3 linked regions of the Stegostoma tigrinum genome follow. The main gene of each other region encodes a partner of the protein of the gene in region 2 in a complex. Links are inferred from orthologs where the notes say so. Each region holds a gene or a part of one and is shown on either strand. Other genes may lie near its edges. The genes, in order: inka1a, pak4 and limk1a.

Region 1 (3,746 bases), on a different chromosome or scaffold from region 2:
TGGTCTAGTTTGAGGCATCTGCATCCCATGACCAAATAAAGGAAAAGCCTGTGTTGATTCCTTTAGCAAACACATCTTGAACCATGTGACTGAAGAGTGAAAACTGAAAGAACTGCGAGTGCTGGAAATCAGAGACAAAAACAGACATTGCTGGAAAAGCTCAGCAGGTCTGGCAGCATCTATGATATCAATTCTGCGGAAGGGTCACTGGACCTGAGAGTTAACTCTGATTTCTCTCAGCAGATACTTCCTGACTCACTGAGCTTTACTAGAAATTTCTGTTCTTGTTTGTGACTGAACAACGAGTGTGCTGCATCCGAGACAGGGCTGATATGAATTATTAAAAAGCAAATTACTGCAAATGCTGGAAATCTGAAACAAACAGAGAGAATGCTGGAGAAACTCACCAGGTTTGGCAGCTCTTTCCACAGACCCTTCCAGATCAGCTGAGTTTCTACAATAATTTCTAATATAAATTACAGTCCTCACCACTGCAACTCAAACTATATATTTCTCTAGCTCTATTCCTCTAATTACAACAACTATTGCGAAATAGTTTAAGAAGTTTTGCTTCCCAGTATGTATGTGTGTGTGACACCATTCCTGGGGTTTCCAAGCTGGGAAGTTGGGACTTCACCCAGATTCTGCATACAAGCCAAAGCTGGAAAAAAAAGCGTGACCTGGAACGTTAACTCTGATTTCTCTCCATAGTGGCTGCCAGACCTGCTGAACTTTACCAGCAATTTCTGTTTCCGTGTAAAAGCCCTCAGACTAATAAAGCAGATTGCTTGTCGGCTACCCCCCCCCCCCCCCGACACACCGGGCCTGTGCACAATTTCTTACGCAGATTTGTCCCGTTGATGAAGACCAGACTTTCAAATGTTAAAAACGCAAGAACTAAAAAAAAGTTGCAGCAGATGCTTGGGAACTTGAATATCGAACGTTCCAATTTTATTTTTTTAAAAGGAAAGTTCACAGCACTGTTTACTAAGCCAAAATATTTGATGCAACACATATAGAAGGAGATTTTTTGACGGGCCCCCTCTGACACTTGGCGGAGTCCCAATTTTTCCACATTGTAAATCTCTGTAAAACAATCTGGTTTAAGATTACAGAACGAGGCGATTGGCCCGACGCTTGCTTCCGAGGGAGGGACCCGAGTCTTGATTGGTTGATTTTTAACTAGGGGAGCCGGGGATTGGGGAGGAGCTTGCGGAGGAAAGCTATATATGAAATAGTCATATGTGTATGCCAGTGTGTCTGAATTCTGCAACAAGACAGAAAAAAAATTGAGGGACTTTTTTTTAAAAAAAGAGGTCAAGATCTAAAGCGAGTGAAAAAGCAGCTGCGATTTCTAATGTAGAGACGGAGATTGTTGACAGGACAGTGCTGGAGGGGCAGCTGCAGTACAGTGCTTGGTGATGCAGGACGCAAAACTGGATGATTTCATTTGTCATCTTCGCAAAGAAATGGTGAGTTAAACAGAGGGTTCATTGGAAAAGCTTCAGCGGCGATTTGTGTCGAGTGTGTTGTAAGAAAAACTCCCCGAATGCTAGCAGTTATTTCAAACTTTGAAAAAAATAGATTGTGGCAGGGATTGGATCACTGCACCTAAAAATCCAGTAGCTTTTGGAACCCTAAATAATTCTTGAGGACAGTTTTTGAATTCTCTGTACTGTGCGTTATTAGAAATTTTTACACTTTACAGGCTTTGGTGCTCAGAAACGAGTCAATGTTCTTAACTTGAGACGATATTGTTTTTCTTTTAAAAACCTTTTTGTTAGGTCTTATGATCTAAGATTATGGGGGTGTCCGGCTGTGGTTATGATTTAGTAACTCCAGTCTTTCACGATAAAAGGAGCCGAGGGTTTAATATAATTAGCAGCTGGAATTGGGTTTAGTCGGGCTAATAGGAGCAGATGCTGTGGACAACGTTTAACTCAAGCGATACACCATTCAGATCGTGAGAACTGACCGTACCCCCCCCCCCCCACCCCACCACCAAAACATCCATGGGGGGGGGGGTGCGGTGGAGGGGGAGCAGTTTGGAAAGAGAATGCAGAATCCTTTGTGAAACAGTGTACAATAGGCCAGGTGAGCTGTAGCATGTCCAGGTGCTCTGCATGAAGCACAGTTAACGTGTTAGTACCTGCCCGCAGCGCCTGTACTACTGGAATGGAATGTTTGAGAGAATCTGACCTTTTTACTCATCTCTAACTCATCAGAAACAGCGAGGGTGCTGCCTTCTCCACAGGGATCCCAGCTCTCCCGGTTAAAGGGGCCTCTTTGAGTTCTCCTCAGAGCTTTGCCGTCAGCGCCAGACGTGCCCGGGAACTGTCCAACGACAGCCATCAGCGCCGCAACACTCGAGGGCTGGTTGGAGAAAGACCAGGTTCCAGGCTCAAACGTAAAGTTATGGCGGGAGGGAAGGAGGAAGAGGTTTTCATTTCCACCCGTTGCATCTTTCACTTTCCCTTTCCCATTCCCCAGCTTGGGGTATTGGGCCAGGGGACGATGTGTCGCGTGCAGCGAGCTAGTTGCAAGGTCGGAGTGATGGGCCAAGTGGCCTCGTGTCCTGAAGTCATTAGACTAAGTATTGACCAGGGATGGAGCCTGGGATCTTGCAACTCTTGATGGTCCATTCCGACACCAAGGTGCATGTATCGGTTAGGTCACCAGAGGGGGCTGAGGGGACAACTTTCAGCCTTCAGCAATTAAATTCCCACGTGTCAATTTTCCTCGTGGAACCAAACTGCAAAAGACATGCAGAGTTTACACTAAATCAAGTGTTACTCTGCAGGAAGTTAACTCCTCCTTTCGTTGAAGTCGGGAACGGTTTAGATATAGGCATTCGGGGCACCTACCGACCCGGAAAAGCTTTAATTACTTCACAGGCAGTATTGTATTTTAAATCAGCGTGTGTGATGGAAGCCTCCAGGATTTGCTGAAGACCTCAATTTAATTTCCAAGCATGTATTGCAAGAATCTGAAGAAATGAAAACCATCTTGGCAGTGTCATTGGAACAATATACATTCTAGATCTCACGATGCCTGCCCTTGATAGAGCTGTAGCTATGGGAGGGGGAGCATAAATAATGCTGGCTTCACACGGTAGAAGTCAAGCAATTTTCAGGACATGATAGGGTTGGGGCTAAATAGATATTCATGTATCCACTATTCAATGATGGAATTACTGTGGGTTTAGTAGATTGGAAGGCATTTTGATTGTATGGGAGAAAAGCAGGTCAATCGACAGACCCTGATATATAGTGGAATGTGGGTGGGCCATTCAGCCCCTCAAGCCTATTCAATGAAATGATGGCCTATCTGAAGCTTGGCTTCACAACTTTCCTTGTTTCCTTTTTTATAGAATTTTGCTTACAATTGTATCAACCTCAAATTTGAAATGATTATTTATCATCGACTCCTTTATGTGGGGAAGTTCCAAACTTCTATCACCTTTTGTGCATAGATAATAAAGCGCATGATTATATGGGATATACAGCAAGATGAAGTGGACTCGATGGGCCGAATGGCCTTACTTCCACTCCTATATCTTATGGTCTTATGGAAATAGGCTGCTTGACCTTCCCATTGTCTCTGCTCCACTAGGGTCTACTTGCAACTTCCCTCAATCTTATCATGCTCTATTCCCTTCTTCCACATACTTGTCAAGTTCCTCAAAATAGATTCATACAATTTGGTAGTGAGTTCCATATTCTTGAAATCTTTAGTTAAAGATAATT
Region 2 (3,746 bases):
ATGCCCATCAGCCATGATTTAAATGGCAGAGTGGACTTGATGGGCTGAATGGCCTTACTTCCACTCCTATGTCTTATGGTCTTATAGTATTTTAAGATCTCAATTACATCTAAAATCAAGAGCATATAAATCTACACTGACATAAGACAAACTCTTTTATCTCTAGAATTAATCTTGTGAGGCTCTTATTAATGGCCCCCAATTCAATGACATCTTTCCTCAAGTAAGTGGTCCAAAAATTGTATGCAATACTCAAGGTGTGGTTTCACTAATGCCTTGTACAGTATTAGCAACACTTCCCTCCTCTTATGCTCTATTCTTTTAGCAGTATATATGAAAATTCCATTTTCCTTCCTTATTATCTGCTCTACTTGCACACTAGTTTTGTGCAATTCATGCACAAGGATACCCAGGTCGCTCTACAAAACATTTTGAGGTTTCTCTCCATTTAGATAAGTTGCCTTTCAGAGAGGGTGCAGCAAAGATACCTTGGATTGATTGCCGGAGAGAGGGGGGTGGGCTGTGAGAAGAGATTAAGTAGAATGGGCCTCTACCCTCTGGAGTTCAGTGGAATGAGGTCATCTCATTGAAATGTGTTAAATTCCTCGTGGATGACAGCGTAGATGCTGAGGTGCTGTTTACTTTAACTAGATCCAAGGGGGCACTGCCTCTGGGTTGAGCTGAGACGAGAATTTCGGTGCCTAGTGGATGAGAACGTGTTGAATTCTCTGCCCGAGAGAGTTGAGATGTGGATTATATTAAAGAACAAAAAGGTCCCTGAGCTTAAGAGAACCATGGCGCGTCTGGGAGATTGTCTGTGACTGATTGAACGGGGGGATTAGGTTTGAAAGGGATATATTTGCCGCAATCATTTTACAATCTGTGTGTGTTCTCGTGTTTCTGCTCCAAAACCTTTCGAGAACTGGATCGAGATGTGAGACCATCATAAAACCAGCAGGTGCCAGAGGGCAGCAATATTTCAGATGGAGACTTTGCTGGTTGAGCGATGTCGGTCGGACGTGTTAGGTCCGGTACAACTAACACCAAGGACTTTAGTCCAGGCCGGCAGGGAGTTAGTATTAGGACAGGACAGTCTTTGTTGTCACACGTACTCGGTGAGTACAGTTAAAAACAGTTTATACACTGCCACTGCGATGTGCAAGTGCCCAGGCTCCTCTCGTTACAAGCTTTACACGATGCAGACCATAAAACCCAGGCTCGAAAGTCTCTCTCTCCCCCCCAGCAATGGATGTTCTCTGGCCCCCGGGGGGGTCCCCTGCACTTGTTTTCAGTACAGAACACAAAAATGTCCAGCTTTACAGAAATAAAAGTTCAGCACAGCCGACCACTTAGCTTCCAGTCCGCGCCGGGGCCTGGCTCTGGAGCAGGCCAGCGACACGACAGCACCACGCCGGGGCGGGGAGTCACCGCTGGGAGCAGGCCAGACGTTTCGACAGACACCGTCGACGGTGACACCCCCTCGATCAGAAATCCTCCGTGTGGTGCTGCGGGAGTGCAGCCCTGTCGCAGGGGCCGCCCCTGAGGTGAGACGTTAAACCGAAGCCAGCCCCTCGGCGCGAGGGGTAGGATCCCGCGGGCACCTGTCCCCGAACATGTTTATCCCTCAGTCAGTGTCTCTAAAACACAGATGAACCAGTTTTTCTCACGTTGCTGCCTCTGGGAGCTTGCTGTGCACAAACTAGTCTCAACTCCCCTCAATGTAGTGACTTAGTCTCTCCCAGTCCTTCCCTACAGGGAGAAGAATAAATCTCTCCCTGTCCACCCCCTGCCCTCAGTCTGAGAATTAGTTTCTCCCAGTGACCCCCCCCAGCCTGAGGATTAGTCTCTCCCAGTAACCCCGCCCAGCCTGTGAATTAATCTCTCCCAGTAAACCCCCAGCCTGAGAATTAGTCTCTCCCAGTGACCCCCCCCAGTTTGAGGATTAGTCTCTCCCAGTAACGCCGCCCAGCCTGTGAATTAATCTCTTCCAGTAACACCCCCCCCAGCCTGAGAATTAATCTCTCCCAGTAACCCCCGCAGCCTGAGAATTAGTCTCCCCCAGTAAACCCCCAGCCTGATAATTAGTCTCTCCCAGTAACACCCCCTAACCTGAGAATTAGTCTCTCCCACTAACCCCCCCAGCCTGAGAATTAGTCTCTCCCAGTAACACGCCCCACCACCTGAGAATTAATCTCTCCCAGTAAACCCCCTAGCCTGAGAATTAGTCTCCCCCAGTAACCCCCCGCCTGAGAATTAGTCTCTCCCAGTAACACCCGCCCAGCCTGAGAATTAGTCTCTCCCTGATTTCCCCGAGTCTGAGAATTAGTCTCTCCCTGATTCCCCCCGCTGCAAGCAGGGAATTACTCTCTCCCTTAACCCCCGTGCCGGGGGAGGTTGGTCTCTCCCCGTTGCCACGGCGATGCGGTTGCCCGGATGCGGCGCCTGCGGTTCGGGAATTCCCGGATGTGGCAGTGAACCCCTGGGAAGAAAACTCTTCCCCCGCAGGCACCAGCAGCCGTAGCCGGACAGGTCAGTCCAAGGGAGGGGGGTGACAAAGGGGAAGACAGAGGGAAAGAGTGGGAGCGGGGGCGTGAGAAGGAGTGGGAGTGGGGGCGGGGCGTGTGGCATGTGGTGGGACGTGTGAGGGGGGAAGAAGGGGGGGAGAAGGGGGCGGGGCGGGGAGGGGGGAGAAGGGGGCGGGCGGGGAGAAGGGGGCGGGGCGGGGAGAAGGGGGCGGGGCGGGGAGGGGCGGGGGGGAGAAGGGGGAGGGGCGGGGGGGAGAGGGGGGAGGGGCGGGGGGGGAGAGGGGGGAGGGGCGGGGGGAGGGGCGGGGGGGGAGAGGGGGGGAGGGGCGGGGGGGGAGAGGGGGGAGGGGCGGGGGGGAGAAGGGGGAGGGGCGGGGGGGAGAAGGGGGAGGGGCGGGGGGGGAGGGGGGAGGGGCGGGGGGGGGAGGGGAGAGGGGGAGGGGCGGGGGGGGAGGGGCGGGGGGGAGAGGGGCGGGGGGGAGAAGGGGAGGGGAGAAGGGGGAGGGGCGGGGGGGGAGAAGGGGGAGGGGTGGGGGGGAGGGGCGGGGGGGGAGAAGGGGGAGGGGTGGGGGGGAGGGGCGGGGGGGGAGAAGGGGGAGGGGTGGGGGGGAGGGGCGGGGGGAGAAGGGGAGGGGCGGGGGAGGGGCGGGGGAGAAGGGGAGGGGCGGGGGGAGAAGGGGCGGGGGGGAGAAGGGGGAGGGGCGGGGGGGAGGGGCGGGGAGGGGCGGGGGGGAGAAGGGGGAGGGGCGGGGGGGGAGAAGGGGGAGGGGCGGGGGGGAGAAGGGGAGGGGCGGGGAGGGCGGGGGAGAAGGGGGAGGGGCGGGGGGGAGAGGGGGAGGGGCGGGGGGAGAAGGGGGAGGGGCGGGGGGGAGAGGGGGAGGGGCGGGGGGAGAAGGGGAGGGGCGGGGGGGAGAAGGGGGAGGGGCGGGGGGGAGAGGGGGGAGGGGCGGGGGGAGAAGGGGGAGGGGCGGGGCGGGGGGGAGAAGGGGGCGGGGAGGGGCGGGGGGAGAAGGGGGCGGGGAGGGGGGGAGAAGGGGAGAAGGAGGGGGAGGGGGGAGAAGGGGGCGGGGAGGGGGAGAAGGGGGAGGGGCGGGGAGGGGGTAGAAGGGGAGGGGAGGGGGAGAGGGGGGAGAAGGGGGCGGGGAGGGGGGAGAGGGGGAGGGGCGGGGAAGGGGGAGAAGGGGAGGGGCGGGGAGGGGGGGAGAAGGGGGCGGGGAGGGG
Region 3 (3,746 bases), on a different chromosome or scaffold from region 2:
TATCCCCTCCTAAGAACTTGTACTGAGGAATCTGGACCTAGGTCCCTTGTGCCTACGATGGTTCCATAAGTGGAGAGTTGTAAAGTTTTCACTGTACTCATTTGAGGACGTGACAATAAAGCTAATTCAATTCAATGTGAATCAACGATTTACACACACTGCTTTCAGTTCAGTGTGCTGTATTTGATGCACATGATGTGGTCTCTCCTACATGGTGGACAGCATATGCAGTCTGGGTGATCACTTTGTGAAACGCCTCCATTCAGTGAGCAAGCATGATTCCGAGCTTTAACTTCCCACTTGGATTCTCCTCCTCTCTGCTCCCACACTGACTTCCCTATCCTTGCCTGCTATAGCTTTCCAATCAAGCCCAAAACAACTGGGAACACAGATAATAGGAACTGCAGATGCTGGAGAATCTGAGATAACAAAATGTAGAACTGGATGAACACAACAGGCCAAGCAGCATCTTAGGAGCAGAGAAGCTGACGTTTTGGGCCCAGACCTTCTTCAGATTTCTGGGGAACACAGCCTCTCTGGACTCAGCACTCCACAGCCTCAATATTGAGCTCAATATTGAGTTCAACAATTCTAAAATATGAACTGTCCCTCAATTTCGATCAGAGATAATGGGAACTGCAGATGCAGGAGAATCCAAGATAAAGTGTGGAGCTGGATGAACACAGCAGGCCAAGCAGCATCTTAGGAGCACAAAAGCTAACGTTTCGGGCCTAGACCACCCTCAATTTCATTTCTATTCATGTTTATTTTTCATTAGTTGAGCTTTAATTTGCTTCATTTTTTTTTCGAAAAATCACTATCCAACCATTCGAACCTCATCTGGAGGTATTTTATTTCTTGACATGTTCCATCACCATTCTCTTTAGCTTCTGTACATCAAATGTCATTCAATTTTCTGACGGTCACCAACCTATCCTTTAGTTCTTTTGTTCCACCATCCACTCCTACACCCCACTCCCAACCCCTTCCACTTACTCAAAACCTAAAATAAAATAAGGGCCTCAGCACCCTCCTCCCTGTTCTTTATCAACTCCCACACCGAGGCCTTGTCTTCGCATGAGCTACTTCCAACCCATTTTCACCTCACAGTCCACATTATCAGCCTTTCTCCTTCACTGGCTTACCATTATCCATTCTTTTGTTCGGCTAACTGCCTTTCTCCTCCTCCGAGCTCAATCTCTACCTTTACCCCACCCGCTGCCTTCACCATATAGACCATGTTTTGTTCGGCTAACTGCCTTTCTCCTCCTCCGAGCTCAATCTCTACCTTTACCCCACCCGCTGCCTTCACCATATAGACCATCTTTTGTTTGCTGCTCCAAGTTCTGATGAAGGTTCATGGAGCCAGAAATGTTTGCTTTTTGTCCATAAATGTTGCTAGACTTGCTCGGTTTCTCATGCAGTATCTGTTTGTGTTTCTATTCCATTTCGAACAAAAAAAGGTCGAAACCTTAAATGTTATCTTTTCACAGATGCTGTCAGAACTTTTGAATGTTCCTTATTTTTGTCTTTTTGTTAAAAGAATAGCATGGGGAACGTTAATAACAGTGGACGAATGGTACTTATTTCAATATATATAATGCATGGAGGTACACAAATATCCATTGTGTATTGTTTTAACAATACTGTACACAATTATTGTACATCTGCCTGGAAATAAAACTGTAATTACATTTGTGACACTTAATTCAAACTACTTCCACAACAATGATACTCCACTCCAATGTTGCAGTGTTCAAAAATTATTTTCAGTAACACATCAATAAAAAGGAAAAAATAATTTAGAATTCTTTTACAATATTCCACCCCCAACTATTCCCCCCCCAACACGTGGGCAACTTGACAGGAATTACCATTAGTGTTCTGAGGGTCCTCCTTGTTAAATGTTTAACAGAATGGGTTTACACTGGCTTGGCCTGCAATTGTTACCCTAATTGCCCTTGAGGTGATGTTACCGAGCCACCTTTCCAGTCCATGGCTTTTAAATGAGCAGAGGATAAAGGTCCAAGGTTATTGATGTGTCCAAGGATACAGACTGGCTCTACAGGCGCGCGCGGACACACACACAGGGGGGGGCTGGATTCTTACCTGAAGCAGGCATTGTGCCAGTCTGTGTTTAGGGCCTGGAGGTACTGACCATCATAGATAGAGCGACCACATCCTGCACAGCATGGAAAACATCCTCCTGCAAACCAAAACAAAATGTTAGCACACACTCCAGCAACTGCACACAGGCCAATATCGAGCACATCTTTGCTGCATCCAGACAGGCCAGTGACACACAGAATAACTCAATACAACGCAGGGCCCATACCAACTGCAGGCACAGAGACACACAAAGCACAATACAAGCGAATACAGCCCAGCAAGGCCTGCGTCCTGCAGCCAGACAATACAGCACAGAGCCCACTAAAACACACAGGCAGAGACAAAAAAAATGCAAACAGCATGAACTTGGCGGAATATACTAAAATGCAGTTTCCAACCAACTCGAATGATAACATGCAATTGAATCGAGCTCGGGACAATGAAGTCCTTAATTAAAACCAGGCAGAAGTGCTGCAGTGTCTAGTACAACCCACCCTCCTCCTCTCCCATCCGATCGTCCCTCCAGGTACAGCACAGCAGCATCAACCACATCCAGACCCGACAGCCTGCCTCCCGTGAAGCCGAGTATGTGGAACCAGCTCCAAACGAACATCCAACCACCACAGCTCTGTGGTACTCCCTCCCTTAGACTCAAGCAGACACCGAGTGAGACAGACGCAGGTTGGCCAACTGGCAGCTGATCCTGAGACCTGATGAAAGGATCGCTGCAAACTACACAGTAATGCAACTCCTGCAGCACAGCCGCCTCTCTCTCCCTCATACTCTCTTTCTCTCTCTTTCACTCACACACACACATCCCCAGAGACAGTTCAGAACGTTGCAACCCTATGTATTATTGTGCACAATTCAACACCCACCCCCAAAATGATCAGCTTTCACATTAGAATTGCATTCTGCGGGCTTTCTTTTTTATTTTCAAAAGTACTGAAACTCACAGAGTCTTTTTGGTTCATCATCTGGCACTATGACAGTGTACCATTGTTACAGAAATTACCTTTTATCAGTCATTTCAGTGAGTAACCACAAATATTTCTCTCAATCTATTGAAAGGTATATGTCATGTGAATGGTATTTGAGCTCCATGTCTGATTGGCTTATCGAATGAATGGGAAACTTTGATGCAGCCAGTCGCCCCTGAATTTGTTCAGTTGCTGCTGTTTTGGGGGACGATATTAACATTGGTATGGCATACAACAGGTCAGACTTGAGAGGTATGGACACGGTATTTGCAAGACCTCGCGCACATCACCAAATTAAAGACTGACACTGTGTTTAATTGGTTGTTGCAGGAACTCCTTATCACCCAATTATTAGAATTTATTAAATAACTATCATTCTCAATACAAGACTTTCACGCCCATCTGTTTAATGTGTTCTCTGAAGTATTTAACCATGGTTTGGCAGTTACCCATAATTGCTTCATTGTTCCATGTGCAGGAAGATGGGATTAGAAAGGGCAGCTAGGTGTCTTGCATGGGTCAGCATAGGCAAGATGGGTCAAATGGCTATCTTCTCTACTGTATCATTACTCTGGTTTTAGTCATTTCTGTCCTTGCACAGTCTAAACCTGTTTGGTCATCTGCATTTTTGGTATGTTTTATTTTGTAATAAACCCA

Evidence for each region.
Region 1: the proteins of pak4 (region 2) and inka1a are in contact, whole or in part, in a crystal structure (PDB 4XBU), measured with the Homo sapiens proteins. The link is inferred for Stegostoma tigrinum from reciprocal best matches to the Homo sapiens genes PAK4 and INKA1. Residues at the interface, in NP_001014831.1 of Homo sapiens: Ser331, Gln358, Arg359, Glu361, Leu362, Thr404, Asp440, Lys442, Ser443, Asp444, Phe461, Leu475, Val476, Gly477, Thr478, Pro479, Tyr480, Trp481, Met482, Arg489, Glu507, Glu512, Phe516, Asn517, Glu518, Pro519, Pro520, Met524; in NP_976248.2 of Homo sapiens: Gly178, Arg179, Ser180, Arg181, Gln182, Pro183, Leu184, Val185, Leu186, Gly187, Asp188, Asn189, Cys190.
Region 3: the proteins of pak4 (region 2) and limk1a are in contact, whole or in part, in a crystal structure (PDB 6WLY), measured with the Homo sapiens proteins. The link is inferred for Stegostoma tigrinum from reciprocal best matches to the Homo sapiens genes PAK4 and LIMK1. Residues at the interface, in NP_001014831.1 of Homo sapiens: Glu329, Gly330, Ser331, Gln358, Arg359, Leu362, Thr404, Asp440, Lys442, Ser443, Asp444, Phe461, Leu475, Val476, Gly477, Thr478, Pro479, Tyr480, Trp481, Met482, Glu507, Phe516, Pro520; in NP_002305.1 of Homo sapiens: Lys505, Arg506, Tyr507, Thr508, Val509, Val510, Gly511.

The regions. Positions count from the first base shown.
Region 1 is NC_081364.1:12,626,547-12,630,292, forward strand, and holds the start of inka1a (PAK4-inhibitor inka1), read left to right. Parts: upstream 1-1,235; 5' UTR 1,236-1,421; coding exon 1,422-1,472; intron 1,473-2,225; exon of another isoform or gene 2,226-2,407; intron 2,408-3,746. UniProt on the Homo sapiens protein: Inhibitor of the serine/threonine-protein kinase PAK4. Acts by binding PAK4 in a substrate-like manner, inhibiting the protein kinase activity.
Region 2 is NC_081392.1:17,174,732-17,178,477, forward strand, and holds the start of pak4 (serine/threonine-protein kinase PAK 4), read left to right. Parts: upstream 1-975; 5' UTR 976-1,115; intron 1,116-1,230; exon of another isoform or gene 1,231-1,544; intron 1,545-2,414; exon of another isoform or gene 2,415-2,529; intron 2,530-2,688; exon of another isoform or gene 2,689-3,746. UniProt on the Homo sapiens protein: Serine/threonine-protein kinase that plays a role in a variety of different signaling pathways including cytoskeleton regulation, cell adhesion turnover, cell migration, growth, proliferation or cell survival.
Region 3 is NC_081380.1:14,146,401-14,150,146, forward strand, and holds the start of limk1a (LIM domain kinase 1a), read right to left. Parts: upstream 2,903-3,746; 5' UTR 2,662-2,902; coding exon 2,604-2,661; intron 2,207-2,603; coding exon 2,110-2,206; intron 1-2,109. UniProt on the Homo sapiens protein: Serine/threonine-protein kinase that plays an essential role in the regulation of actin filament dynamics. Acts downstream of several Rho family GTPase signal transduction pathways.